6 linked regions of the Oryzias latipes genome follow. The protein of the gene in region 3 interacts with the protein of the main gene of each other region in a pairwise test. Links are inferred from orthologs where the notes say so. Each region holds a gene or a part of one and is shown on either strand. Other genes may lie near its edges.

Region 1 (4,461 bases), on a different chromosome or scaffold from region 3:
ATCTCTTTAAAAATTATTACTGTTTTCTTCACTGTGTGATTAATGGAAACACAATAGGTGGATTCTGACAGACACACACATGTTTTAGTGTGTCCTCTAGCAGTCATTGACAGAAATGCTTTTCTATGAACCACAGTTTTCCATTCACACCTTTTCCTTTGCTACTAACACATACAAATATAAACACATGGAGTGAATTGAAATAAAAAAAATGCTACTTATGATGTTTTAAAGAAAAACTTATCTGTTTTAGGATGTAACCATTTCTTTTTACCTATGAGGCCCTCTTTATGTATTCATCAAATCCCACTTACATCCTCCGACCTTATAGACAAAATTACTTTCTAACAGATGACTCCTATCTGCATTTGTTTTTTAACTCCAGGATTTAAAGTTTCTTTTATAGTAACATAATCTAAAAGAATAATCATTGATATTTTTAAAAAAATAACAGTCTTCAACCAACAGGACAAAGGCAAAGTTACTGATCCAAGCAACAGCCTTACAAGGGAAGGAGGATGAATGTAAAGTGGTGGGGAAATGGTGGTGTTTTATTTGAATTCTTTTATACTTCATCCTTAGCTTTGTTTCCTGATCTTTGTTTCCCACATCCATCTACCCACATTCTTTTCTTGACTAATCCGCTCTTTTTCCTTCATGACGTCATGATGCGTCACACATTTATTTTCAGGAGGAAAAAAAAGGGAGGAGGAAGGCCAAAAACACTTCCTGTGTGTTTGAGAGAAAGATGGGAGTCTTGTATAGTGAGGTTTCATGCCATTTCTTGCTCATACAAATATTCGCAGAACATGCATGCTTAACATTTTCTTACCAGTTTGTCCTTGAGCCTTTCACCCTTGATGTGAAACTCCACAGCAGTGGGACTTGGACTAGGGCTCGGACTCGGACTAGGACTGGAGCTACACGGGCTTAGGTTGCTGCCACTCTCACCGCTGTGAATGCTGCCATTGTCCTCTGCACGGCTAACCTTGTAGACAGTGACACAGCTGAGGCCTCCACCTCCCAAAGGAAGCCACCCACCACTGGAGTCATCCCGAGTCATGACCACTGCTCTCACGCGCGCGTAACTGTCACTATATGGGAAAGAGGGGAGAAGATAAGAGGAAAAATGGGGTTAGTTTCCAGAATGAAGAACAGCCAGCATATGTTGAGATTTCTGTCAGGAATCTTTTCTTTGATTTGATCATTTAGACCACAAAACTGTAATCACAAATAAACAACCTACATGAACCATCAGCCCACATACTGCAGCTGAATCAAGCACAACAGAGCCTTCCCAAAACACAATTTTTGGCATTTCAAAGCCCCATGGAGAACTTCCCGTACAAATGCGAAAGTCTCAATCATAACACAAATACTGGATTTTCTATATTAATTATCATAAAAGCAAATTAAGAAAACAAAATTCTAATCTAAACCTCCAAACATAACAGGCAGTTTTGTGATTTTAATATAGGAAACTGTCACTTTAGTAAAGCACAAATTACCTGTACATTCAAATGGGAGATAGAAAAACTATTTCTAGTTTAAAAAGATTCTGCAATGTAAGAAAATGTTCCTTTTTACCTTTTAAACATTTACAAAAGACTTAAACTACTTGCCAAAACATTTAAAAGGCACAACAGCTTCTGATTAAAACTGGTGAGTACTGATTTTCAAATATAATTTGTCCCTTGTATGCATCAGATCAACTGACAGGATATTAACTGTCTAAAACCGAGTATATTAACCCCAGCCAGAGGGTACTGACCATGTGGTCAAGTTCAGGTTTTGGCCAGTGCTGATTTCCAGCTTTCCCTCTGAAGCGAGCTGTTTTAAACCAGATAGCACACGACTTGGTCTCCAGCTTGCTTTGACCTCTTTCCCACTATTACTGCTCCCTGTTGGTTCAGTGAGCTGTCGGTTATTTCTGATGCCCTGACTTCAGTAGATCTGAAGGTCACCAGGTAAGAAAATGGTAAGAAAATGTCAGATCTACTTCAACTGTTGCTTATTATTTGTTTTACTCTATCCCATTTCCTTAGTGATAGTATTTGAGCTTCCTACACAAGCTAGTCCACTCCAGCTGTAGTCTGTAGTTTTAATAGCAACGTTACCACAAGTTTTAGAAAGTCTGGTTTAGTTAAAAGCTTTTGGGGGGGGGGGGGGGGGGGGGGCAAGGAATTCTAATTATTTGCTACCACCTTCAGAGTACACTAGAAGACAAAAATATGATATCATCATATTTCTAAAGGAGAAACTGTCAGTCCAAAAAATGTCAATTACTGATACAATAAAGGCATCATGGAATGCTTCATGTGGTAACAACTTAGGAAGCCTGGATACCGAGGACTTTGCCTAAATATTTTCAACTATTAGAAGAGTGGCACGTGTAATGTGTGTGAATTGTAAAATTTCTGTTTTTTATCCTCGTGTTTATTCTGTCACCCCTGACTTTCCTGTTGTGGCCCTGCTGCCGTGAAGTTGCTGCCCACACAACTGTCTTTTATATACTCTATCTTTCCGTGTTGATGTCCATCCATAAACACAGTATTTTTTTTTACCTCGTATTTGGTTTATTTGGTGGTCCTTTCCAACTTTACACAAACATGTGCAATCCACACATTATAAGACAATTATTTGTAACCGTCCATCCATTTTCTAAACCTGCTTTATTCGTGTTTGGGGTCACTTGGATGCTTGAGCCTTCCCAGCTACAGAAGGCCGAAGGCGGGGTACACCCTAGTCAGTTCCCCAGTCCATCATTGGGCTTGTTAAACCATCATTAGTTGTAATTTAAAAAGTGTAACTTGTGGGTCTGCAATGTGTCACTTCAGTTTTGGCTTGGACTCATTTAAGAGTATGTAAACCATTAACATAGGAACCAAGATGAAAATTGTCTTGTTTGGCCAACAGATCACACCAGCTGAGAAACAAAGGCTGAGTCATCATTGTCAGCAAACCAGGCATTACCTTTACACAGGCCTGTGTCATGTTGTGTGAAGAAAATCTCACAAATCGTTCTCCTTTCTCTTTTATGTATTCATTTGTGAAACTTTTTTTCCTCTAAGATGAAAAAAAAAGGTATGCCAGAAAGAAAACTTGTTTTAAGAAAACTAAGTACACATTAATTTTTATTTTTAAAGAAATGCAAGACTAGAACTTACAAACAAACAAAACTTTGTTGGAATTTTCAATGCTATAATTTTTTGCAATGTCATGTTGAGGTTACTGAGTTTGCCTTTTTATTTACTGAGATCTGGTGCCTTTATTTAACAGTCCGTGAGGGCAGAAAGGTGTGGGTGGACATGCAGTAAGGACTGACAGGTTGAGACTCAAACCTGCACTGACTGAAATAAGGACATTAGGCCTCAGTACATGTTACACCTCCCTAGTTACTTGTGCTAAAAGGTGCCCAGAGTTTTGAGCGTATCTGACAACCCAAAGTTGATTTTACACAGACTTAGCGTAAGGGCTTGCAAATTCTTTGTGATGAAAGGATAATAATCTATAGTCAAATCTGCGGAAGACACATAGGTCATTTTAAGATTTGCAGACATTCTTTAATTAAAAAAAAAAAAAAACAATAAAAAAAGTAATCAACATTTTTTTACTTTACAATCTGCACGGTATATTCACAACATGAAACCCCTTATCTCTGCTACAATGTTTAATGAATTGCAGTGTTGCAGAACAGAGCAACATTTCTGTCCACCTCTGTGTTCTATCATGAGGCTGAAATGGAGGCAAAACAAGCCTCAGGCAATCAGGCAAGCAAAAGTTGCAAAACAAGCCACTCTTCAATAAGGGGCCAGCTATCACTCAGCTTATTCCATGTTGCAAATTTTGCTTTGCAGCATTGTTCTGCCTATCTGGTTGGTGATAAGTAAACTACTAAAACAAGCAGCAATGTTTAAACAAGATTTTTTTTATTTCTTTTTTTTTTTTAACCAACATATGTGCAAAAGTTTCTGGCATGCAACAACATTTTAAATGCTTTTCCCCATTAAATGACAATCAAGACAATTTCACAGGATTCTGTTATCCAGGCCAACAGAGCAACTTGTATGTGGGTAACACATGGGTAAAATCAAAACCCAGGACGTGGAGGAATTTTCTAGCCACATCAGTGCAGTGGACAGATCCATCAAGGATGGCTGTTTATCATTCTTGGACTATTCTGTACATATTAAAGAATTCGGTAATCTGAACATTGAGGTGTGGAGGAAACCCACCAATATCTCATGTTTTGACTTCCATCACTCACTTGAACATAAGATAGAAGTAATTAGAACATTAAAGCACGGAGCAGAAACCATACCAACAAATTCAGAAAAAAGCCACAGCTGGGATATCCAGTGCCTGCTAGAATAAAACAGAGAACCAGTAACACCACTGATTACTAACATCCAAATCTAGTGCAGATAATTTTTTGTGTAATACCTGACACATTATATTTAA
Region 2 (5,161 bases), on a different chromosome or scaffold from region 3:
AATATTTTACTAACTGCACACGTCCCTTTCGGTTATAAAAAAAAGGTATTGGAACACAAACGCAGTTGTGTTGACCCGCGAAAACCACAAATACACCACAAGTTATTTAAACTTTTCATAGAAGCAATAGGGAAGACTGACACACAGCCGCACGTACACTTCATTCCACAACACCAAAAAAGTGCGGTCAGTCAACTTTACGAGCTACTTACCAGCTCTTTTCCTCTCTTTCCCTCGTCTGCCCCTCCAAACCCCCCACCCCCCCTCAATTGCAGCTACACAAACTTCAGCTAACTATCATACACCCGGGCAGAGCGTCGACGGTTCCCTTCACCGGACGCCCAAAAATAAAACAATAATAAAAATGAAAGTTTAGTTTCGTAGGTCTCAATTTCTTCTTTCCCCAACAAGTCTCTCCTTCCCTTCCTCCTCCCCCTCCCGTCTCACCCCCTCCATGGTCACGACACACGGCACTTCCGCGAACAAATGGCAACGTCATCTGTTCGCTCGCAGATGCTGTGTGCGCACGTGTTCGCGTGGGCGCGCGCCCAAGTTTGTGTTTTGTGGGGCAGATATTTTATTTCTCCTGAATCCGTCTGTGCACGAAAATATTCAATAATTTAACACTCAGAAAAGCCCCCCCCCCACCTTTTTTTGTATGTTTTCCCTTCTAAATAACTTTATAACATCTTTATATGGACACATTTCTGCAACAATATAACAATAATGTTAATATTTTTAAAAAATAGATTATTTTTTACAAAATAGCTAGATTTATTACATTGATTATCTACAAAAACAACATCATGTTTAGACTGCAGCAGCAACATGTACATAACATCTTCATATTGTATTACTTCATGAGGAAGAACGGCTATTTTTATTTATAACCAAAAACTGAGAAAAGCTCTTCTAAAAATGTTTTTGTCAAGTTTCATAGTCTAAAAAAACTTTAGCCCTGTGTCCTCACATTAATAGAAGTAAAACTGATGGTTTAAATAAACGATGGGTGCTGGTCGTCTGTCAGGAGAGTGAAGGCTAACCTTTTATTATACAGGTCAAAAACTGATCAATCTGCAGGAATATCTGCAGGTTTTATTTTTACTACTCTATTATACATGAGTGATGTGTAAGATAAACTAACCTTTCTTCAGCTCACTGCAGCCTCTGCTGGGACAGAACTTACTGCAGTCATGGATGTCTTTGTGAGTAAATTCTGTCAAACTGCAATAAAGTAATGAAACTTAAAAAGCAACAAAACAATGCCAACAAAAGAAAATCTAAACCCAAGACTTAAAGAGACTGCTCACAACAATAAAGGAGACCTTTATTGACCTGCGTTACTGCTGCAAATTGGAGATGCTCTGGATTTTATTTATTAATTAAATATTTATTTATATACATTTATTAAATGCATCTGCTCTCTCTCTCTCTCTCTCTCTCTCTCTCTCTCTCTCTCTCTCTCTCTCTCTCATAAAGACTCCAGGACTAATTTTGAAAAGACAGGATCCTTTTGTTTATTTTTCAGATTTGACTTCCACATCCTTGATTCTCCATTTTAGAAATTACCATCTAAAATTTTTTTAAAATGTAATCTGACAATTCCATAAAAAGAATAAAAAAAGGGGGGAAACAGACAAGGACACTGAACTGCTCAACATGATCAATTTGGTTTAAAGTTTGTTTTTTTGTATTCTAATGTTGTGCAATAATTTAAATGTAGGTCAGGTTTTTTTTTATCTGTCTTTAAAATAGACACTAAACCTTCAACACGTCGCTAAAATTTCGCCTCTTTTTACAGAAAATATTACATAAACAAAAATGCGCCATCAACATTTCCGGATTGATCATCTTCAAGGTTGATAATCTGATCAGAAATTTCCGATTTGATCCTCCCAGCCACTAGGGGCGTGCGAGAGTAGCTGTTGTCCTTTTCTCTCCCCTTCGAAGAAGTCGTCCCTCGCATCCTTCCGCGACGGTCAGCTTGACAGTAGCTCAAATCGTCAAATCTGGGGGAAAAGACTTTTTAGATACCAGACGTATGCAATGCCTTTCTCGGTACAGTCAAACTACAGCTTCACACCACCTGGACAAACTAAGACGATCACCGTTATCGTGCTTCCGGATATTGTAAGAACATGCATAACGTTAAAACCCGCCCCTTGAAAGTCATTGGCTGTTAACGTCACTTTCCTTTTTGTGATTGGACCAAAAGGGCTTGAGCCACCGTCGTCACAGCTGTGGGGATTCATAACGAGGACATATGCGGCTTCAGAGTAACAGTAAGTTACCTTTAAATTAAGGACATAATGTTCACATACCGGACTACAAATTCGATACACTACGAGCGCATCTTAACTGAGAATCGCAAATGTTTATATTAATAGTATAAAAAGGTATTTAGTATTTTAGCAATAATGCGATGTTGTTGACTTCCCTTCCAAAGGTTGAAGTAGTACCTAGCAAGAAGACTTCAGAGTTACTAGCGTACATTTGAAAGTCCTTAACGCGGGCACTAGTTTTTTCCCCCAAAGTAGTTGCTTCTTTTAAAATATAAAAATACAGAACTTTGTCCATAACTGTATTTAAGTTGGTGTAAAAAAATAATATGTAAAGGGTACATAAGACTGAGATTGTGTCCAACGTTGCTACTCTCTCTGTAACTTACTAGAAAATAATCACAGTAAAGAAAAACTGGGTCTCCAACGTTGCAGACTTACAATGTGATCGTTTTCTTTATTTCATAAATTTATTGTATAATACAAATTGGCAATATGAATTTTAGCAACATCAACAAATAAAGGTTTATGTTAGATACTGCAGCATAATTATGAAAGTCCATGTTGACTTTGTTTTAGTTGTTCCATGGAAGATTTTGAAGGTGGACAATAGCATTTCTGACCCAAATTATTACATGACTTGCATTTTAAATAAAAATTGCCGATGTTCAAAATCTCAGAACTACATTCGTTTTTCTAAATGCTCTTTGCCCTTATTTCTTCTTATGTTTTTTGTTTCCCTAGACACCCCCTAATTGAATAGGAATCATGAAGGGAAAGAGGGTCTGAACTGCTGTAGATCTTTTTTTGGGTGGTCTGTGTGGATCCATGTTTATGTAAGCATTGTTGTTTGTGCATGAAGGAACATATAGTGACTAATTTTAGCCTTTAAAGGCGACTTTTAAGAGATGGTTTGGAATTTGTTTTGGAGTTGAACACTTATACGTCACACATTTCTTCCCAGCTTTTCCTTGCCCAGTTTAAGTAGAGCGGGGGTGCGTGTGAGGAGGCTGACGGCACAACTCAGCAGAGCAGCCATGTCCGCCGAGAGGCAGAGCTCCACTGCGGCTCCCACTGCAGCCATTCTTATCATTGGAGATGAGATTCTAAAGGTGAGGTTTTTTTGTTGTTGATTGATATTTTTGCTTTGTGTTGCTTTCAACCTCAGAATGAGTGGCAGAGGCTCGCTTCTTGAAAGATCACGCACAACTGCCTCCTGAATACGGCTTAAATAAACGATGTTTGATGTTATTAACATGTGCAGTGAGTCGTTATCATTTTGGGCCTCTTATCCCGTCTCAGATCCCCATTTCAAGATCCAAGGAAAACCTTGTGATGGTTATTTGATGTGGCAGTGATGTTTCATATTTAAAATGACAAGTTGACTATAACTCCTTGACTTGACATGATCATGATTTAAACATGAGCTCTTTGATTTTCGTCCAATGTCACGCCTCACTCTCAGCATACGCTCACTGTGACTCCTTGAATTTCATCAGGCGGCGGTCTGGAGTTTTTTGTAGTCCTTGAATGTCACTTGTGTGTGTGGCTGCAAACTCTAGAGTCAAACTTTGTCTTCTTTTCAGGGCTACACAGTGGACACCAACAGCACCTTTCTAACACAAGCACTTCGCAGACTTGGCGTCTCTGTACAGCGTATAACCGTCATACCAGATATACAGGAGGTCATAGCCAAAGAGGTAGCCCTCCTCTCCTCTCAGTATACACACCTGTTCACCTCGGGGGGCATCGGACCCACCCATGACGATGTCACCTTGGAAAGCATTGCCATGGCATTCCAAGAGGAGATGTATCACCATCCGGATCTCACCTTGCTGGTTAAGGAATTCTTTGGGGGGACGGACAAAAACAGTCCGGCCATGAAGATGGCTAAGGTGCCCCGTTCTGCCAAACTCAACTATGGAGTGGATCCTCAAACTGGGAAACCACAACTCTACCCTGTGGTATGTTAATGTTTACAGAATGGGATTCATAGCTTTAAGTAATTTATATTCACTTCTTCAATATCCTTGAAAATGAATTTCATGCATCTTGTCAGGTTCAGATAAAAATTTTCATGATTTTAAGAAGTTCTTATAGGTCAGGATATTTTTTGTGGTGAAGACGTGTTTGTTTTTCTTGTATGAATGCTCATTCTCACAGGTCAGTGTGCGTAATGTGTATGTGTTCCCTGGGATCCCGGCTTTAATGGAGAGGGCCTTCACGGGGCTGGAACAGCTCTTTGCTACTTCAGGAACCACCTTTCACAGTCGTGAGGTAACGCCATCATCATGCAAGTCATTCAAGGATTTTCATGTGTTTTACTAGGGCAAAAAGGGGTAACCAAACTTGTCCTGTAAGGTGTTTGTGGATGCAGATGAGACAGACATCGCACCCACTCTGACCAAACTGCAGGCCAGCTGGGGCAAAAGGGTGGCTCTTGGGTCCTACCCCGACTGGTTGAGTAACTACAGCAAAGTCAGACTGGTCCTGGATTCGGAGAGCCTGGAGGAGGTGGAAAAAGCCAGAATACAGCTGGTGGAGGAGCTGCCGAAGGGTAGCGTTGTAACTTTGGTCAGAGATTCGGTGTCCATTGCCCCTACTGAGGTCCACAAACTGGCTGACGATGGTGAGGGTGACAGAGGCTGTAAATGTGGCGGTTTGGGAGATATTGGAACCATAGTCCATTTTGTTTAACTGTTGTTTCGATTGGAAAGAGGAAAAAAGGCTTCAACTTGAACCTAATTAATATTCCTAAGCATCCAAAAGAAACACTGGGATAATTTTGCTTATTCAAATGTATGTAAAGTTAAAAATAACGTTCCACCAACTTTTTTCTACAGCTACTATGTTGGGAGTGAAAGTCAAGTCAGCACTGAAGA
Region 3 (3,904 bases):
CAGCTGCTTTGAGATCATCAACCCACTCCTGCCGTGTTGTTTATTACCTCAACTCCCAGCACGAATAACCCAACAATTGTGTTGAAGAAAATAAAGGTGTGTGTAGAAAAACACAGATAAAACTCCTTCAGCGCTTCATCACCTCTTCCTCTCCTTGGATTGAGTTAGGATCCAGAAAAACCATCAGCCTTTTATTTCAGATTTATCACGGATCCACACAAACACGATGAATAACACAATAAATAAGAGTCGACTCCTGAGGAGCTGAAAAGTGATCGCATGACCAGAAGCATCAGCAGAAGTGCATTGGGGCAGGTTTGCTCTTTTCGAAGCCGTCAGTTCATACATGATTAAAGTGACCTTACATGACTCTCATCCAGATTAGGCGGAGCAGCAGGATTTGCTGGACAGATATGTCGTTTACAAGCGGAGAGCAGTAGTTCCATCCATGACACCTTTGCTCCTGATGGAAAAACCTTCCTCACGAATACATTTGGACCTGAAAATACTGTTCCTGATCGTCCTTTACGCACCTTAAAATACCTACAAGTACAACTTCTGTGCAATACTGCAATGTTTTTAGATTTATACTACTCAAATACATCTGATATATGCTGAATATATATCTATAACCCTTGTGCTATCTAGTAGGGTCCAGATGACCCCACTCCCAACGTTAACATGCCTTGGGAGCACGTTAACGTTGGGAGTGGGGTCATCTGGACCCTACTAGACATATTGGCTTGTACAGCTCACCGTCTTGTGGGGTCCAGGTGACCCCAGTTGGAAGTGGGGTCATCTGGACCCCACAAGACAGTGAGCTGAACCTTTTTTTTCAATGTTTACATGAAATCCTCTCCACCTTTATCTACATTTCTCATGGTAGGGATAACACGTCAATGTAAGGGTGGGGTCATTTTGACCCAACAACATAGCACAAGGGGTTAATGCTCCAAAGAGATAAATTGCTACACACTGAACATTCATAATCCAGAGCCATTCACACGTCAGGACAGAGCAGCAGATGAATTTGACGAATAAGAGACAGGACATGAAGGGAAATGCAGGTTTGTGGTTCGTGATGGAAGCAGAGCGTCTCTAGACTTGGAGACGTTGAATCTCTTTTTCCCAATAGTTCATATAAAACTCTTCACTTCAGCATAAAAAAAGGGGGGACATTGTGATTTTAACACATGCTGTACATCTTCCTCCTCTCCTGTGGGTGGGAGCCGAGATGTGGAATGTACAGCGGCGAAAATGTCTGTCATCACTTTGGCAACCGCTTGATCCAAATGAGGATAAATCCACTGATTCCGTGGATTACCGTTAATCTTCTCTGCTCAAATGTCCCCTTCTTAGCCCAGGGAAAGGCACCGATCCCCCCCCACATACAGTAGCCTAATTAACTGAGCAGTGAAATGTAGCTGAACCCCTCCCGAGTTCACAGGTACGGACTCCTGCGGAGGGCGTGGCTTCTGAGTGGGGCGTGGCGTGTGCGCTCCTCCGTCACTCGCCCGATTTCCGCGGCATCCAGACCATTCGTCGTTTAGCTTGGTAGAAATCTGCAGGGATGAAAGCGACACTGAGCTCAGGGGGAATCGGTGCAACGACACAGACGCAGCTGAACGTTCCACTCCCATCATATTTTGAGAAAAGCCTTCCCTGTCGTCTTTTGATTACGATTATGCCTTTTTTAGCCAAAATGAAATAATCTTGTCGTCACCTCTGAGATGTGGGCGGGGCATTAGCTCAGAGTAACCCCGCCCCTACCTCCCATTATCCATCTATTTGTACCCTCTCTAGCTGGCTTACAGCCCCTCACATTACTCTTCTAGCTCAGACGAGGGACTAAAAAAGTTTTTTGGACCTATTTGTCTGTAAATGAATGCAGATACTCTCTTTTTCTAACATTTTTTATCTGCTTTGAACAATTAAATACTAAGCTTTTCTTTATAAATGTCCTCCATCGTCAATAAAGCGTCATAAGAACACGATTCAAAACAAATGAAAGCACCTGTGATGTTTGTCTGTTTCCTCTTCATCCCGGCCTTCTCCTCCTTCTCTGGTGTTTTCTCCACGTTGAAGATGTTCTCTGTCAGTGGGATGTTCTCCTTCTCCCTCTGCGGCAGCTCAGATCTTCGTCTCTTGGGGGGGGTCCTGGTCTCCGCCGTCTTCTGGACCCGTCCAGCATCCTGACAGCGGTACAGCAGCGGCACTCCGGCCCCCGGGACGCTCTCCCACAGGAAGTGGCTGCCCTCCAGGGGCTTGTCGGAGCGGAAGTCGAAGCCCCAGCGAAGGGACGCTTCGTCCAGGTCTTTCCGCAGGGCGGCCTGGTACTCCAGCTGAAGCTGCTCCCGGTCCACCGGGCCAAACAGGTTTCGCCTCGCGGGCCTCCTGGGAGCGGCGGGAATCCGCTTTGGAGCAGCCATGGTTCTGCACTGTTTGAACACAGAACACTCCTGGTTAGATCTCAGATGTCATATGATGATGAGATGGATCATGTAAAGCAGTAAAAGAGTCAAAGAAAAACCCAAAGTGTAAAAAGTTCCGAGCTCACCATGACTGTTCACTCTACAGACCATCAGAGAAAAGCAGAGCTGTGCCTCTCCTCTCCTCCCTCCCTCTTAGGAGAGGCTGAATCATCGGTACATGCCTGGACATAATCTGACAGGCCGACAACACAGAGCCGCCACTAGGGGGCAGAGTGGCAATGACAGATCCACCACCAGAGGTGTCCTTCCACCTCAGTCTGCATGACAGACCGCATCACCCTGAACAGGACATTTTCCTTTTTAGGAAAAAAGGAAGTCCATCCCAGGCCAGGCTGGTTATCCAGGAGGACAAAATAGTCCACAGTAAAGCTTGTTGTTTTTTTTTTAAAGAGAGCAGAAAATGAGGATAGACAGCAAACAAACCCCCAGCAGCTTGTTAGATATGATTTTATTATAATACATAAATTAAAAATGGTTGTTCCTGTTTTTTTTTTGTTTTAAAAAACACTTTAGAAAACAATTTATACCAAAAATATGAATATTTTCCTTTATCTGGTTTAAAACTATTTCCAGTTCTTTAGTGATAATGTTTAAATTAATATTTAGGTTTCTCCACATTATAATCCCGCTGTTCTTAAAGCTCAGACTGATGGATATTGACATTAAATATCTTATTTTTGAATGTTTTGATTCTTCCATTGAGGCTGGAACGGTGATCTAGCAGAGTAACCCAGACTTTTCATGACGTCATAGACCGACATAAAGCTTCTGTTGTCTCTTCGGGGCGGGGTCACTGGGGGCGCGGCCGACTCCCATCGGGGCGGGCGTTCAGGCCATGGCGGGAGAGTATGAATCCGGGTTTGGACCAGCCCCGTTCGGTTACTACGAGGCTCCACGTGAACCTGGAGCACGTGTCCCCCATTCAAACGGGGCTGTCACCGCCGTACTCACGCGGAGGACGCGCGCGCGCATCAAAACACCCTAGATAGGACTTCTGGAAAACTTTTTTTTGATTTAATAAGTTACCAGGAAACTTTTTTAATTCATATAACCAGAATGTTGGATCAACGACGCTGAAGTTAGCATCCGATTCACAGCTTCCGATTCGCGAGTGCACTAAAGGAGCATTCCACTGTTTTTTTTGCACTAAGATCTCCTTAGATGGGGTCCGGTTCAAAAACTGCTGGACCTAGACTGCTCAAACCTGGATTAAATTATGATTTAGATACTGAAGAATACATTAAACACAGTTTCTGATTTGTGAAACCTTCCTCTGATTTGTGAAAATGTGAAATAGGTTGATTTTTATCGTATTTTACGCACTGAGTCCACCTTAGACCGGGTCCTGTTCAAAAACCACTGGACCTGGACTGCTCAAACCTGGATTAAATTATAATTTTGACACTAAAGAA
Region 4 (5,261 bases), on a different chromosome or scaffold from region 3:
ATTCTACACCAATGCTGTCACGTTTCTATTAGTTATCAAAATGAGAAATGAGAAAAAGGACGAAGGCACCCCAAAGTCATGACAGAAAATGTCATGATTGACATGTATTTTAAATTCAAGTAAATCGGAGCTTTTTCACACAGGGTGTTTTATTTTGAAAGGAACTTGTATGTGCTGCCGTCTAAAGTAAAATAGATTCAATTTTATTACGTGTATAAAACAATACATTTTAGAATGCAATTGTAAATATTTCAAAGCTACATTTTATAAATGAATTAATAAATGATCACAAAAACATAAAGTGTTTTTTTTTATAACAGTGAAGTTGGACTTCATGGCTCTTGCTGGGTTCTTTTAATGTGAAAGGTTCCAGAACCCTGATACTGTTGGTGCTTTTACATTTACGCCCACAAGGTGGCGCCAGAAAACCTGTCACACGTGCTTACTATACCACATGTATTACAAACGTGACATGCTGCTGCTTTTAACAATTTTATTGAGTGTGAGCTTTAGTGCATGAGCTCTGTTCAAACTTTTTTCTCATTTCAAAGTAAACTCAGTTTACTACAGCCAGTTCACCTCTTTACAGGCAAAAAATAAAACAAATAGAAACGTTTTGTTCTATTTTGATGGGAAATTTATTATAGGCTGGAATTTGCAGTGAACATGAGTAGATTTTCAGCTTCTCTGGTGGTGTTCTTGTCATAAAGATGAGGATGGAGAGTCAGCAGCTTCACGTCATCTGAAAGTCTGTGAAAAAAGAAGAACGTTTCCCACGATCAAAGCCGACGAGCAGCTTCTTTGACCTCCTGGGACCTCTGAGGGGTGCAGCAGCTGGTGCAGGCCTGTGCAGTGATGTCCTGTTCCCCGTCCATCTACGACTCCCCCCTCAGTACCGACTCCAGCTCCCCACTCTCCTTCAGCTCCTTCACTATGTCCAGGCCCCCGATCAGCTCCCCTTTCACGTAGAGCTGGGGATAGGTGGGCCAGTTGGAGTACGCCTTCAGGCCCTGACGGACCTCTTCGTCCGACAGGATGTCAAAGGTGTCAAAGTCCACCCCCGTGGAGTTCAGGACCTCCAGGATCTGCCTGCTGAAGCCACAGCGCGCCGCCTCCTTGTTGCCCTTCATGAACAGCATGACGGGGCTCTGGTTGATGATGGCCTTCAGGCGGTGCTCCAGGGTCACGGCCTTTGGGCAGGTGGTCTCCAGCTCCCCGGACTCGGCCAGCTCCTTCACGATGTCCAGCCCCCCCAGCAGCTCTCCGTTCACGTACAGCTGGGGGTAGGTGGGCCAGTTGGAGTACGCCTTCAGGCCCTGACGGACCTCTTCGTCTGACAGGATGTCAAAGGTGCTGAACTGGACGCTGTGCTCCTTGAGCAGCGCCACCATCTGGCGGCTGAAGCCGCAGCGGGGCTCCTGCGGGGAGCCCTTCATGAACAGCACGCAGGGCGCCGCGTTGATCAGCTTCTTCAGCCGCTGGTTCAAGTCCGCGGCGCCGCCGTCCGCGGCTCCTCCTGGGGCGGGCCCGCTACCCGCCAGGCCCTGGACCTTCTTAGTCAGCTCCGCAGCGTGCGCCCCGTCCAGACGATCCACCTTCTCACCCCCCTTGAAGAAGATAAAAGTGGGGACGGAGGATATGTCATACTTTTCCGACACATCGGGAACAGCCTCCGCCTCCAGCTTCACAAACGTCGCGTGCGCGTGTGCCTTGGCCAGCTCGGCCATCACTTCGTTCATGTCGCCGCACTGAGGAGCCCATGCCGCCTGGAAATGTACAACCGCGAGGTTTTTTCCAGCTTTTGCAAGGAAATCCTCGAACTGTTGTCGGCTCGTCGCCTCTAGCACATTCGCCATCTTTGCTTCTTTGACCTCGACAGCAGTCCGGCGGCTTTCTGACGTCACATCCGTTCAGCCCTAAAAGCTGTTAGCTGTAGCATAGCCGCGACGCACCGGAGAAGTGCTCGGCTTTCTGAATATAAGAGCCTCCTGTGGACTCTGGATACGTTAAAAAACATTGTATGATTTAAAAGGTAAGCGTTTGACGGTGTGACGCATAAAAAACGGAATGTTCTGCGCTTAAGCATTAGTAGCGACACGACAGATCAGTTAGCATCTTTAGCTAATCTGTTTGGCTAATTAGCCAGTCGGCGTTTATTTGGTTCCTAAAAAAAGTAATCCTGCTGAAGAGCAAGTGGCGATATGTTACTTTCTATCTTTTGTTATACTGTCTGTCCTAAATCTTAGTTTAATATTACATCGCTCCTGTCCTTGTTTAGCGAATACAGCCGGGCTAACTGTTTTTGGCTAACGCTAGTACAGGGAGTCCGTCTTTGGGAAAAAAACAAAGCATTAAATCAAATTTAACCCACTGAGTCTAACATAAAGATATAGATGCTATTTTACGTTAATTGTATGTTTATTAAAATTCTTGTTTAGGAAATAGCTCAGTTAATAATGTATTTTAAATTAGAGCTAAATAATTCAGCTGATTGTAGTTATCCGGATTCCTTAGTTAGAGATTTTATTTTCTAGACTAAAGGCTGGTTAATAAATTCACTTCAACGTTGCCTGTTTGTTAAAAAGAAGAGGTGATCTAGATGATTGCTGAAAAATTGGAAACTACGCTCACTGTTCTTCATAAACTTATAAACATGCCGTGGACGCACCATGCTTGTTGAACAGATTGTTAAATAACCTGGTGCTTATCAAAATTTTTGTAAAAGTGTACAAACACTTTAAAAAGTCACATAAACAGAATAATTTGTAATTGAAGATGTAATACAATTGCAGGAACGCTATGGATGAACAAACCTCAGACATAGAAGTGACGGTCAAAACTCTGGACTCTCAGAGCAGAACCTACTCAGTCGGTGCTCAGGTAAATGGAAAGTTCCTGCTGTAAATATTTGGGTAGTTTCCTTTTGTCTTTTATGATCTGACTGAAATGATCCATTGTTTTGCAGCTGACAGTTAAAGAGTTCAAAGAGCACATTTCTCCTTCAGTGGGCATCCCTGTGGACAAACAGAGGCTCATCTACCAGGGCAGAGTACTGCAGGATGAAAGGACGCTGGCAGACTACAGTTAGTCAAAGGATATATTAAATCTTCCTCCTCTTAACCTTTCAGCTTGTTGCTTCAGGGAGTCTCTCCATCTGAACATCCCTTCTGCCTCCTTTCAATCACACCACCAAGGAGCATTTCAAAACTATTTCTTTTAAGTAAAAATTCTGTCATTGAATTAGTTTTTGGTTCCATCTGCTCTTTCTGCTGATTTGCCACTGCTTCTGTTTTAGCTGACCATATTCTCCGCTACTCTTGTAGATGTGGCTGGAAAGGTGATTCACCTTGTGGAGCGGGCCCCCCCTCCACCCTCCCAGCCTGGCTCGGGGTCAGGGGCCACCGCAGCCGACAGCGGGCAGTCTTCATCCTCCCAGGGAGCATCGCAGGTGCCTCCACACGATCGCAATGCCAACAGCTATGTCATGCTTGGAACCTTCAACCTCCCCGTCAATATCATGGACCCCCAGCAGATACAGGTAGGTCTGCATTGTTGGTGTGCGTTGTCAGGGATGAAGGCAGCACTGCTCAACAGATGACGAGATTCCAGTTGCTCAGGGCAACTAAACTCTGTGTTTCGGCATGAAGATCTGAGTTCAGTCAAGTTGAAACATTACTTTTCTAAACGGCTGCCTTCAATCTGCCATGAGGCTGTCTGCTTTTGTTAACAACCTTTGATCACAAACCTGCAGGAAATTTTTCTTAAAAGGACCAAGTCTTCTGGATCAAAATGACATGAAAGTCAGATGGGTTCGTTCAAAGTGAAAATAAAACCACAGGGATTGATTTCAGATTTTAAAACCATCTAGATGTAGTCGGTTTATCACGCAGAGCACAAGTGAATTGTTCTGTGTGATCTCTGCATTGTTTTCATCTCAGCATTTTCCACTATGTCCGATCATATTGTGTGGAGATGTTAAAGGGAAAATGGACAAAGATGGACTTTAGAGACTCCGGCATATGAACTCTGTTCATGTCATCTTGATGGGTTTGCTAAATTATCCTAAAAACAAATACATTTAAAGCTGCAACGACTGTTGAATGACCATTGCCACCCTGCACCATGGGCCCATCAACAGCCCCCCAGGTCTGTCTGCTGCCCCCAGCAGCTTCTCCTCGGCCTGTGCTGCAACAGAACAGGATTAAGGCGTGATGCTCATCCTCTAACTCTGCAGCCCCATCTGAAAATGGTGCCACAGTAAAACCCCACCCGCTCCTCTACATTCCATGGTCCATGACATCAGTGAAGATGGAGCATAAAGAAATTTAATGATTTTTACTGGATGGCTCTTTCTTAGGGGATATATATATATAAAAAAAAGGTTTTACTGGCCCAATTTTACTTAGTTTTTTTTGTTGGAAGAGAACAAATCGTTTACTTTTTATGACAAATTTTTGAATCAGTTTTGCGGATTTTCATGCATATTAGGGGTCTAATTAGGTCTCAAAGAGGGAGAAAGTAAAATAATAAATAATAACAATTGCAATTATGACTCTTAGTCCACTTTGTGATTGCTTGAAGACTGTGGTTTAAGCCGAAAATTACTCAATGATATGATAAAGTATATAATACTTATATAATAAAGACACTAACTGTACATTAAAGCTGTGTGATTCTTGTGTCTCCTAGATGTCTGTTCAGCAGATGGTCTCTGGAATGGGAGATAATGCAAGAAATGCTCGAGTCACAGCCAGTACTGGAGTAAGTAATAGAAGCTCCCTTCTATTCTTTAAAAGCTCGTCAAAAAACAGGATTTGAAACAAAAACCTTTTCTTTCCTGTTGTGACTGCTCTCAGAGCAACGGGTCTGTAAACGTTCACATCGACATGGACCAGCCGGTGCAGAGCGAACCCAGGCTGAGGCTGGTTCTGGCCGAGAATCTGCTGCGAGACCTCAACGATGTCATCAGCAGGATGGAGGCGAGCCACTGCGCCACAGGAGTCTTTATCTCCCAACCGCCATTCACTGACATTTGTCGTTTTTAGGGTCGACAGAGCGATTCCCAAACCTCCCAATCAGAGACGGCCTCTGCTGCTGCTCCGCCTCCTCCCTCTTCTTCCTCCACAAGCTCCACCCCTTCTCCCTCCACTCAGCCCATGGACACCTCACCTCCTCCAACAACTCCACCCACCTTCTCTGCTCAGTCTGAGGGACCCACTCCACAGCCAGGACCCAAGTGAGAGATTGAATTCAAAAGATTC
Region 5 (4,918 bases), on a different chromosome or scaffold from region 3:
TAGTTAATTGAACCTCAGTGTGTTTAAGACCATATTTCTATTTTCTTCCTGCAAGACTTTTTTGTCCTTTTTAAGGCATTAAAAGGTGGATCAGCCAGTGTGCTTCAGATTAAAGTCAAACAGATGGAGAACATTTCTCTTCAGGATTTGTTGGTAGACACTGGAAGCTGTGGTTCCACAGCAAGTCTTCCTGGTTCACCACTGTAACATGTTTGTTTTCTCACGTGCTGTGTTACTTTTACACCAAATGTTGTAGACAAATGTATTTTTTAGAAAAGATTGACTTTAATCTAATCAGTCCTTAGATTATTTACTCAAAGATAGCAGGGTCTTTTGACATCTCTTGAATAAGTTACTGCACTCTTGTGGTAATTTGTTCAACAGGCCACTCTGGAGATGGATCACAACTGTTCTTGTGTTTTCCTTGTTTGAGGAGATTTGCTCTCAATAAAGTGTCAAAGCTTCAGAAATGGCTTAATCATCAATGTTTTTGAGCAAGTGGTCCCAAAGACTGTTTTAATTTTTTCCTGAGTATCTCTGGATTGCAACACAACGGCAAACGTTTGAACCTTCAGTTCATGCTGGTCTTAAACATTATTTTCTTGATTATTTTTTTTGTGTATGGGTGTGTTTGTGTATGAGTTTTTGTCTTTGAGTGGAAAGAAAAAACTATCAAAATAAAAGCCCTTCCATGTTATTTCTTACATTGTATTTATTTTGTTATTTATTTACATTAAACGCTAATTTAAGAATACTTATATATAAAAAATTAATCATCTAGCCAGAATATAAGAAAGCAAATATTACCTACACTATGATGGCTACTTTTTTCTACCTTGTATATCTTACCTGATATTTGCTTTCTTGTAACATAGATTTTATTTATCAATTGAACTAGCACATAACATCAAAAAAGAAAAATAGTAATAATAACATATCCTTTTTTAAACCCTTTTAACATATAGCCTAGTAGTCAATAGGCCTAAATCAGGAGTCTGAATCTGAGGCTCCAAATCCAAATGTGGCTCTTTGTCCCTACATTATGGCTTTTTGGCTTTGAAAAAATTCTAATAATTTGCGTAAATAATGGTTTTGTCGTAGTCAGGATTATTTTGAGTTAATTACGTTTTGTCATTTATTTTTAGATTTTTAAAATGTCAGGTAACTGAGCATCATGACAGTAAAAGGTTTAATCTATTGTGTGTGGTTAAAGAGAAGAAACGCCTAGGAAGTGCATGGAGGAACATTTGTAGAAGTTTATATTTACATTATATAGATTTGTTTTGCCTGGTTTAATATTTGAGAGTAAAAGGAAAAAAAATGAAGGCCCACCAAAATCATAATAATAGAAAATGTTATATTGGATTTATCTTTCTATCTTTTTAAATTTAAGTAAATCTCCTGTAGCAAAGGATCCTATTTGACACAGGGTGTGTTTTATTTTGAAAGGATCTTGTCAAAAGTAAATAAAGTTACAATTAATAAATGCAGAAAAACATAACACTGTTATAGTTAAATTACTGTAAATATTTGAAAACTACATAAATAAATTCTATTTTCTAATTGATAAAGTGAGCTTTTGCGGCTCTAAATGGATTTTGGTCCGCATTTACAGTCAATGGTCACAGAAACTTGCCCAAAAGGCTCTTTTAATGTTAAAGTTTGTCCGCAGACAGGAAGTAGCATTAACTGACCTCACATAGTACGAACTCCGTGGCGTCAACGTCCGCCTCGTTTTCGCGGGCATTTTCGGGCGATTGTAAATTCTCCTTTGGTGAGACATCTCCTCCAGACAATCCCGCTTATGGAAGCTTTCGAAATGGAAGAATTTATTTCGACTGTGAAATGTGAGTATAAGTCGGTTCAACTACATTACACGGCTAATTACAGATACAAACCATAAATAATTGTAACTGCGTCATCAGCAGGGGTAGGGGGTAATCAATGAGTTATATCGCGATATAACTGGGGCTAACCTAGCTAAACCATCTGCTAGGCCATGTACTATTTTGTCAAGCTAGTTTAATGAAATGAATTAAGCACATAAATCCTACCTTAGCTTTAGCCTTTGTCCGAGTGAAAAAAATGTTTGCTTTATTTTTTAAACAAATTAATTATATTTTTTCTTTCTTTAAAACTACCTTAAAAAAACATGCAGACTGCCATAAATAATATTATATAAATGTTGGGTTTATTCAGAGAAAAATCTATACAGAAATCATGAGAGCAATTTTAAAGTTAACGAAGAGAATCTTGAAGCTGTTTTTATGACAGACAGACATGCTTGGTTTTATTTTTGTTGTGGAACAATGGCTGGCAAGACTTTTAGGGTATAAATAAAGTTTATTATTTTGAATTGGTTAACAAAATTATCATTTTACTCTTTAAAACGGGAGCATTATGCCTCAGGGGGCTGGAGGGTCTGTTTCTGTTACCCACACATTTATGCATATATATGTGTGTGTATATAATATATATATATATATATATATATATATATTATTTTTTTTTGCTCAATCCTGGATAAATACGATAAAGAACATTTGGCAGAAATCAATATTTTGGAAATTGTTAAGAAAAAAGGGCAAGTAATTTTTTTCACTGTCCAGCTTGATTTGAAAAAAACAAAAATAGAACAAACTAAAAACAAATGTCTCTAGTTATTAAAAAAAGTGTGATTTGAGGCTTTGCAGCAACAAAAATAACTTAGAAGTGTACATAACAGTTACCATTATGCTTTGACTGTGAACTTCACTCACAGAATTCTTTTTAACACCCACTTTTAAAAGTGTGGAGGGTGTAATTTGCATCAGCTTCATATACAACAACTTGCCGCCTCACAGATCTTAAAAGCATAAGAGAACAAGCATATGCCAGAACCCTTTTCTGCTATGGCAAACTAGAAGTTACTGTCAAGGGGAGCAGTTATTGGATGTGTCACATATATTTATTGAACATCTTTTACTCTTAGTGTGTCTATTCATTTCAAACGTTCTGCTTTTTCACAGGTCTCACAGAAAACTTACAGCAGAAAGATCTAACAGATTGCGATGAGGTTATAGAGAAGCTTTTCTCTGAAGTCTCAGGCTTAGATTCCTTTCTCAAAATACCAGATCCTCAGGTAATTTATCAATCGTTTTAGATTGTACTATTTTTAATATAGTCTATAGTCCTGGACAGATATGTACAGAAGAGGATTAGGGCCATGGAGAAAGAAAAAAAAAAAGGGCATAGAAAATTCTGACTTTAATCTCAGAATTCTGACTTTATATGTTCATGTGGAGCTAAACATTTTTTCCCCCTATCCCAACATATCTTGAACCTGCAACTTCGAAATTATTTTATAGCTTAACTACTTTTTAGTAGTTTTAGTAGTAAAACTGAATGCTTAAGTCTAATAATATAAGTTATTGGCATGTTTTTAGTGTCTTGTTTTACTGGTACAGATTCAGGAGTGTGCCGTCCAGTTGTGGAACTGGGCTGTTACCAAGAATGTGGGAAACGCCATAACTGCAATCCAAAAAGCTAAAGGTATTCTTCCAATTGCAGTCTGTATAGTTTTTAAATGTTTACCTTTCTTGATTTTCTAAAACACAAACCTAATTATGGGGATTACAGGCAAGGTTAATGCCTCATTTAATATTTTTTATCATCATCAGTTCGCCATGTTGCATGCAACCTGCTGTACTGCTTTGAGTCTGACAGTCCAACAGAGGGCGCCTTTCGAAAACAAATCTTGGTAAGTAATTCTGGAGGTTTTCCTTTTTATAGCCTGGCATTTCAGGAGGATAAGGCCTGTGTGTTGATATCTTATCCTTCCAGATGGCCAGCAAAGCAGGGAGAGCCTGGCTGAACTGCAAAAACTTTCAGATGGCAGATCACTTTCTGAGACTTGCCGTCAAGGTGAGAAAGAAACGTTGGATAAAATCTGGAAATGTTTTTAGCTGAAAGGAGAAGGATGGAATTATTTTATTCTTTTACAAATGATCCAACATGGTATATTCCTAGAGCTTGGAAACCCTTTACCGCCAGCTAACGTCCAGAGCCAATGACGAACCTGACATCTTGTCATCCAAGGCAGATGTGGAGAAGGACCTTCTTCGGATCCTGTCGTGCCAGGCTGAGTCGGTGAGCAGTGCTGCATGTGATGTTCAACACCTTAAATGTGAATATTTGTTCTTGTGATATTTTGCAGCTTGGGAGGTGCTGTTCTGACAGACTTGCAGTGTGAAGTGTAAGACAGTAAAATTGTGACTGAGAAACAATGAAGGGGGGGTTCTGAAATAGCTAATTGAGAGAAGTTCATTTCCCTTCATTTAATACACAATCTGATCTTTGTTACAGGCTATCGCTCAAGGGAACAACCAAGAAGCCATAGTGTTCATCGAGCGATGCAAAGACATACTGCTGCGGCTGCCAAATGAAGTAAAACACAGCTACCTTACTGTTCTCTTACATTCAAAGCACATGTTGTTGAAAGTGAGGGGGGTGTTAAGTGTGAGCTTTCATCACAGACGGCGTACCTCTCAGTTGTCTGTTACAACTTTGGAATCGAGGCATACAATCTGACAAAGTTTGAAGACAGTGCATTTTGGCTGAGGTAGTAGATTTATTAATGTGGTTTGATAAAAAGTAATAAAATAAAAAAATCCAGGGTAAAAATGCATCTCTTCCTCCTTGTTTGTTTTTGTAGCCAAAGCTATGACATTGGAAAAGCAAACATGAAATATGGTCCAGGATCAGAAGCTCTGGTAAGACCCCGTAAGACAGAATGAATAGAGTTAGCAGCAGGAATGCTAATCTTTGAGAACAAGTCATTAAAAAGAAAAAGAAAATATTTACAATGTCACTCATAAACAGGCCAAAGTTTTGCGGCTGCTCGCCACGTGTTATTTAGAGTGGGACTGTGAGAAGTTTC
Region 6 (5,197 bases), on a different chromosome or scaffold from region 3:
TTCTTATAAGCTAGTATGAACAATTATTTTACCAGTTTTACATAATTTGTCTCAGTTTAGTTTAAAGTTTCTTTTGAGGTTGTCATTTAAGTGTAATACATTTTTTGATGCACTAATGATTAGTTTCAGTTTTTAACACTGAAACACTTCAAGATAAGACATTACTGACTTCCTATCATTTTTTTAAATGAGATTTTACCAACTTTTAAAGGGATCTTGAGTCATGTTCTGCCCCGCCTTGAAATACAGATAATTTTTTTATGTACATTTTTTTTTTGTATCTCTAGGTTTGGGTCAAAGGAAGGACAAATTTAAGGATTTTTTTTTACCTGCTTCCTGTATCCCATTAAAACACACAAACACCAACTAAATAAGAAATAAAAAAAGGTCAGCTGGTGGTAAAAGTGGAGCAAACATTAGGAACATCTTGCACCTGGTTTCCTTTCACCTTATTCTTTTCAAAGTGTGTGGCAGCAAACAATTACTTGTGCACAATTGGCTCTAAAGCCTCAGATCACTTAACATAAGAGTGTGAGCTCCATGTGCCTGGCACACTCGGCATATATTTGGTTTTCATGGATCGCAAAACACCCTAAAAAGAAAAAAACCTGATCACTCACCTAATGCAGCGGTGGCCTTTCCAACCACATAGATGGGTTTGGTGTTCCACTGATCTCTCAGAGACTTGTTCCACTCTATAACAAGAGATGATTACATGTTACATCAATTTATTTGAAGTAGTAAGCCTAGCAGAAGAACAGAAATGTTAATTCTATTTGTGATATTCTACCTTCTTTTCTTTTTTCTGCGTCTAAGCACATTTTCACAGCCTCCACTGCCCTGGGGCTAGTAAATATAAGGCCTCCATGTTTTTCTGGCTGAAAAAGCTGAAAAAGAAACAAAAATCATAAACAATCGATATCTAATAACTTCAGGTATAAATATATATGTAAATATAATTGCTTTACCTTATCAGCCAATGTGTTTAATGAGACAAATTTAAATGACAGCACTGGAATTAGTGTAGCTTTGTGTCCATGTGATGCCAGCTCCTTCAAAATAAAATCAAAGAAATATAGCCACTATAATTAATGCAGAACTTTACCAGAACACTGAAACCTGCATCTACCTTAAGATATGGATCAGGTCCAGAAGCTTCTTCTCTGGGCTCTTTCAGAAGCAACACGTGCATTCTGGCGATGTCCTTTCAAAAATAATGGTAATATAAACAAGGGAAAATGCTAGAAAGACAGTTGGGACTCGCAGAACTGCAGAAAGGTTTAGGATCTGATTTAGCTAAGCTACACCCTTGAGCTGTTACATGCAGCCTCCTGATAACGAAGCTGCTGAGTCACGGTTAGAGGGTTGTTCATTATTATAAACACAAAACCAATTTATTGAGATACTTTGTTTAGTGCCGATGGGTAACTCATCCTCGGAGTCGAAGTGTTTACATTAGCAAGAAGCAGCAGATGACGTAGGCAGCTCCAGTTAGCTTCCTGTTTATGTGAAATGTGGGTGACATTTAGGTAATTACTCCATTAATTTACCCTCAAAATAGTAATAGAAACAATGCAAAAATAAATAATAATAAATAAAAAATAATAAACGCAGTCAGAGTTGTTTTTAGCGACGAGGTCCTATCAATCATTGGGTATGGTGGGGGGAGCTACAAAGACCAAACTTCTTCATTCACTCAACAAAGTTCTTAAAAAAAATTGTATTCTATTTACACATGTATATTTTTTAGATATGTATTATATTTTAAACATCATAGTGTATTAGATAAGTTAACTGTTTTAATTAAATTACATTTTAAAAAATTCACCCCCCAGAAACTGCAGTGGTATTTTCCCATTTTGCTAGTGTCAAACCGGATCCACTGGCAGCTGACATGAACGGAGTCAGGAGCCGTAATGGCGGCTTCCCGACACTAGTTTCTTTCCTGTTTCCATCGACTAGCTCCGCCTACTTCAGATGACACACGCGTGTTTCATGGTGCAGCATGGCGTCCTCGGCAAAAAAGAGAGCAGTAGGTTTGGGTGAAAACCCAGAGGAAAGCGAGAGTTCTGATAAGAATCCCGAGGATGATGGGGATTCCGAGGAGGAAGAGGAGGACAGCGACGCATCAGAAGAAATTAACGAGGTGAGTTATGGCACCAACCCAGACTTGTTAGCAAAGCCAGTTAGCATTAGACGCTAGCAATGTCAACAGATGGTTGATAATCTGCTCACATCATGTTTTGGTTTTTACATAGTATCTTATAAATTATTTTCTCCCTTTTTGTTTACACCTTTTCAGGAAGTCACCGTGGATTTTGAAGCTCACACCATGTCAAACAACGACTTCAATGGCATAAAAAAGCTGCTGCAGCAGGTTTAGTGTAGTCTTTATCATTGGTTAAGGCTGTAGGGGGTGTTATAAAGCTTTCACTGATGTTGCTGTCTATGTTTGGATCTAGTTGTTCCTGAAAGCTCATGTAAACACATCAGAGCTGACAGACATGATCATCCAGCAGAACCACATTGGAAGTGTCATCAGGGTATGTTCCTCCCTCCCTCCCTCCCATTCATTCATTCATTCATTCATTCATTCATTCATTCATTCATTCATTCATTCATTCATTCATTCATTCATTCATTCGTGGCTTTAATTGACAATATCTTGGTTCACCACTGCTTTAGCAAGCTGAGGTTCCAGAAGACAGTGATGATGAAGATGCAGATGAAGTGTTCGGTTTTATTTCTATGCTAAACCTCACAGAGAGAAAGGTAAGAATTTATTTATCAATGGGGGGAAAATATGATTTTTTGTGTGTGTTTTTAACATTATCCTGATGATGGGAAGTGGGGATGGGCTTACTCCACACCAACTCAGAGGGGAATTTCTAAATAACTACTGCTGCTCTGCAAAAACTATGTTCTAAAAAACTATTTTTTCTTTTAATTTTGACTAAAAATCTGGCGTCCATCATTCTTTTCAGGGTGTGCAATGTGTGGAGGAAGTGAAGGAGCTGATTTTGGAGCAGTGTGAGAAGAACGCTCCTCATGCTCTGACAGAACAGCTTGAGAAAATCTTCAATGACACCAATAAGCCCGTTGGGCTTCTGCTGAGTGAGCGTTTTATCAACGTACCCCCACAGATCGCCCTCCCACTGCATAAACAACTCCAGTCAGTTCAATTTTAACTTTTTTGACAACCTAAATCTTGTATATTGAAAATATTTTCAGGAGCAATTTTGAAATGTATTTCATTCAATTTTAGGGAGGAGATAGCTGACGCTCAGAGGACTAATAAGCCCAGTGGGAGGTGCCACTACTGCGTGATGATTAGCAAGACCTGCAAAGAAGCATCTAAGAATATCCAGTCCAGAGGAGGAGTTCCTAAAGAGGACTACATGTTTGTCAATGCTGAGGAGGAATTTTTTTATGAGGTAAAAGTTGCAGAAATGCAGAACAGCAAATCAAACCTCCTCATAATCATCTGTCACTGTACATTCCTTCGCACTTATGGAGGGATTTTTGTACCATTATTCCACACGCAACACTCACTGGTTTGATCGTAAAGCTTTACAAATTGTGTGTGCTCAAAAACTTTGAGCACATTTTGAGAAAAACGCACTTGAAACTCAAAAATATGCTGAAACAAAACAATGTTTGATCTTGAAACTGAAAATCACAAGTCAACTAGTCAATCAGCTCAGAGACTGGATCTGCGAGCTAATTGGATCAGGCTGGATCAGGTTTGGGCACGATTGGAATTTCTGACCACTCAATGTCAACCATCATGTCCATGTCTGTGATTGGCTGGCTTTCGGGGCACATTTGTAACGCGGTGCCCTACTTTGTTTCGAGCGCAGAAGAGAGAAATTCTCCCAAGTGAAAACTGTTTTGTTTGTACATATTTATCTGTTTGAAGACTAAAATTGTGTTTGTACACATTTTTGTCTTTCAAGTGCATTTTTTCTCTCTTAAGGTACAAAAAGATTATTTGACCGCACAAAATTTTATCCTCAAAACAGTGAGTGTTGCGCTTGGAATAATGGCACTAAAATCACTCCATACCCAGTCAGTCACTCCAAACAGATTGCACACGGCTAATTGCCATGTGCGCTGCGGTGCCGTTAACTGCGAACACAGAGTCAACAAACTACTTTATTTTAAAAGTAGCTTGCGTGTTGAAAGTGTGGTTTTCAGCTTCTGTTTCATCTTCAACAGGAAGCACTGTTGAAGTTCCATTACTCGGTCCAGGAAGAGGCGGACTCTTGTTTGAGCGGCAGGTGGTCATTCGACGACGTGCCCATGAAGCCTTTCAGAACAGTGATGCTGATACCTGCAGACAGAATGCCCGCCATCATGGACAAGCTGAAAGAATACCTGACTGTGTGACGCAGCTCACGAGTCCAGACCACTGCAGGCTCATGAAAACATGGTTTCATTTCTATGTACAGAATGGTTTTGACCATATTTGTTGCAAATGTTTTACTAAAGCTGAACTATTCATGCTTTTATTATAGTTCCTCAGCATCAAAATTTACATCATAATTTCACATTTTTACAGAACTGGTTGGAAAAACTGCAAAAAAAACTTTAAGACTCAGATACGGTTTTATTTTCCTGTAATATTTTTGATTAAAAAAACTTGTCAACGACTCTAAATGAATAAAAAGGCAAAGCAAAAAAATGTTTTCGTGTTTCTTACTGCATCATGTTTTTTTTTAGCACTCCAAAGTTAATAATAATCCGAAAATGACCTCAGAAGTCCATTTTACTATAATCTGGATACATGTTGCAAAGTTGTAAAGAAAAATAATTTCTGCTAGCATTCGGTTGACTGACCAATAATTTTGACTATAATGCAGACAGGGGGTGCTTAAAATACTTAAACACATTATTTAAAGCCATTTTTTATGCCCACAAATTAAAATCACTTTTTTCATAAGCAGAAAAAACAATTTACAAGTATGAGACGTGAACATACAAGAGCATTAGTTTACCCAGCTGGAGGTTAAATGGTGAAAACTGCCGCCTCTGTGGAGATTGAAACATGTTTTGTACAACTTGGGAGTATTTTTTCAGGTCACTGAATCGCACATCTGTCATGGCTCTGAGTTGCAGCTGCGCAGCTGTTTGCATCGCCGCTCATTCTTGCAGTTTGGGTCTTTTCTTTGCAGTTACTGCATCCGTCTGAGTCCAG

What was found.
Region 1: the proteins of cyclin-dependent kinase inhibitor 1-like (region 3) and spred1 interact in binary tests that used the Homo sapiens proteins (3 or more experiments, as listed by UniProt). The link is inferred for Oryzias latipes from reciprocal best matches to the Homo sapiens genes CDKN1A and SPRED1.
Region 2: the proteins of cyclin-dependent kinase inhibitor 1-like (region 3) and flad1 interact in a two-hybrid assay, tested with the Homo sapiens proteins (2 studies listed by BioGRID and IntAct). The link is inferred for Oryzias latipes from reciprocal best matches to the Homo sapiens genes CDKN1A and FLAD1.
Region 4: the proteins of cyclin-dependent kinase inhibitor 1-like (region 3) and bag6 interact in a two-hybrid assay, tested with the Homo sapiens proteins (2 studies listed by BioGRID and IntAct). The link is inferred for Oryzias latipes from reciprocal best matches to the Homo sapiens genes CDKN1A and BAG6.
Region 5: the proteins of cyclin-dependent kinase inhibitor 1-like (region 3) and tex11 interact in binary tests that used the Homo sapiens proteins (3 or more experiments, as listed by UniProt). The link is inferred for Oryzias latipes from reciprocal best matches to the Homo sapiens genes CDKN1A and TEX11.
Region 6: the proteins of cyclin-dependent kinase inhibitor 1-like (region 3) and bccip interact in a two-hybrid assay, tested with the Homo sapiens proteins (2 studies listed by BioGRID, with this or other methods). The link is inferred for Oryzias latipes from reciprocal best matches to the Homo sapiens genes CDKN1A and BCCIP.

Annotation. Positions count from the first base shown.
Region 1 is NC_019880.2:7,029,923-7,034,383, forward strand, and holds part of spred1 (sprouty-related, EVH1 domain-containing protein 1), read right to left. Parts: intron 1,095-4,461; coding exon 833-1,094; intron 1-832. UniProt on the Homo sapiens protein: Tyrosine kinase substrate that inhibits growth-factor-mediated activation of MAP kinase. Negatively regulates hematopoiesis of bone marrow.
Region 2 is NC_019874.2:18,343,815-18,348,975, forward strand, and holds the start of flad1 (FAD synthase), read left to right. Parts: upstream 1-1,927; 5' UTR 1,928-2,130; intron 2,131-2,215; 5' UTR 2,216-2,282; intron 2,283-3,023; 5' UTR 3,024-3,107; coding exon 3,108-3,115; intron 3,116-3,243; coding exon 3,244-3,391; intron 3,392-3,865; coding exon 3,866-4,243; intron 4,244-4,442; coding exon 4,443-4,556; intron 4,557-4,640; coding exon 4,641-4,908; intron 4,909-5,122; coding exon 5,123-5,161. UniProt on the Homo sapiens protein: Catalyzes the adenylation of flavin mononucleotide (FMN) to form flavin adenine dinucleotide (FAD) coenzyme.
Region 3 is NC_019863.2:2,307,817-2,311,720, forward strand, and holds cyclin-dependent kinase inhibitor 1-like, read right to left. Parts: upstream 2,443-3,904; 5' UTR 2,439-2,442; coding exon of another isoform or gene 2,430-2,438; coding exon 2,015-2,429; intron 1,563-2,014; coding exon 1,507-1,562; 3' UTR 1,462-1,506; downstream 1-1,461. UniProt on the Homo sapiens protein: Plays an important role in controlling cell cycle progression and DNA damage-induced G2 arrest. Involved in p53/TP53 mediated inhibition of cellular proliferation in response to DNA damage.
Region 4 is NC_019874.2:28,119,423-28,124,683, forward strand, and holds the start of bag6 (large proline-rich protein BAG6), read left to right. Parts: upstream 1-1,907; 5' UTR 1,908-2,032; intron 2,033-2,790; exon of another isoform or gene 2,791-2,792; 5' UTR 2,793-2,799; coding exon 2,800-2,880; intron 2,881-2,965; coding exon 2,966-3,083; intron 3,084-3,323; coding exon 3,324-3,538; intron 3,539-4,689; coding exon 4,690-4,761; intron 4,762-4,856; coding exon 4,857-4,979; intron 4,980-5,045; coding exon 5,046-5,236; intron 5,237-5,261. Other genes in the region: glrx3 (glutaredoxin-3), read right to left, coding at 876-1,856. UniProt on the Homo sapiens protein: ATP-independent molecular chaperone preventing the aggregation of misfolded and hydrophobic patches-containing proteins.
Region 5 is NC_019868.2:11,387,019-11,391,936, reverse strand, and holds the start of tex11 (testis-expressed protein 11), read left to right. Parts: upstream 1-1,686; 5' UTR 1,687-1,804; coding exon 1,805-1,847; intron 1,848-3,008; coding exon 3,009-3,121; intron 3,122-3,446; coding exon 3,447-3,531; intron 3,532-3,659; coding exon 3,660-3,739; intron 3,740-3,822; coding exon 3,823-3,903; intron 3,904-4,008; coding exon 4,009-4,128; intron 4,129-4,344; coding exon 4,345-4,425; intron 4,426-4,514; coding exon 4,515-4,600; intron 4,601-4,693; coding exon 4,694-4,751; intron 4,752-4,860; coding exon 4,861-4,918. UniProt on the Homo sapiens protein: Regulator of crossing-over during meiosis. Involved in initiation and/or maintenance of chromosome synapsis and formation of crossovers.
Region 6 is NC_019877.2:11,824,342-11,829,538, forward strand, and holds bccip (BRCA2 and CDKN1A-interacting protein), read left to right. Parts: upstream 1-1,894; 5' UTR 1,895-2,005; coding exon 2,006-2,146; intron 2,147-2,302; coding exon 2,303-2,377; intron 2,378-2,462; coding exon 2,463-2,543; intron 2,544-2,685; coding exon 2,686-2,772; intron 2,773-2,984; coding exon 2,985-3,172; intron 3,173-3,265; coding exon 3,266-3,434; intron 3,435-4,218; coding exon 4,219-4,389; 3' UTR 4,390-4,677; downstream 4,678-5,197. Other genes in the region: uros (uroporphyrinogen-III synthase), read right to left, coding at 621-695, 791-887, 969-1,052, 1,130-1,204, 1,829-1,858; putative pre-mRNA-splicing factor ATP-dependent RNA helicase DHX32, read right to left, coding at 5,081-5,197. UniProt on the Homo sapiens protein: During interphase, required for microtubule organizing and anchoring activities. During mitosis, required for the organization and stabilization of the spindle pole.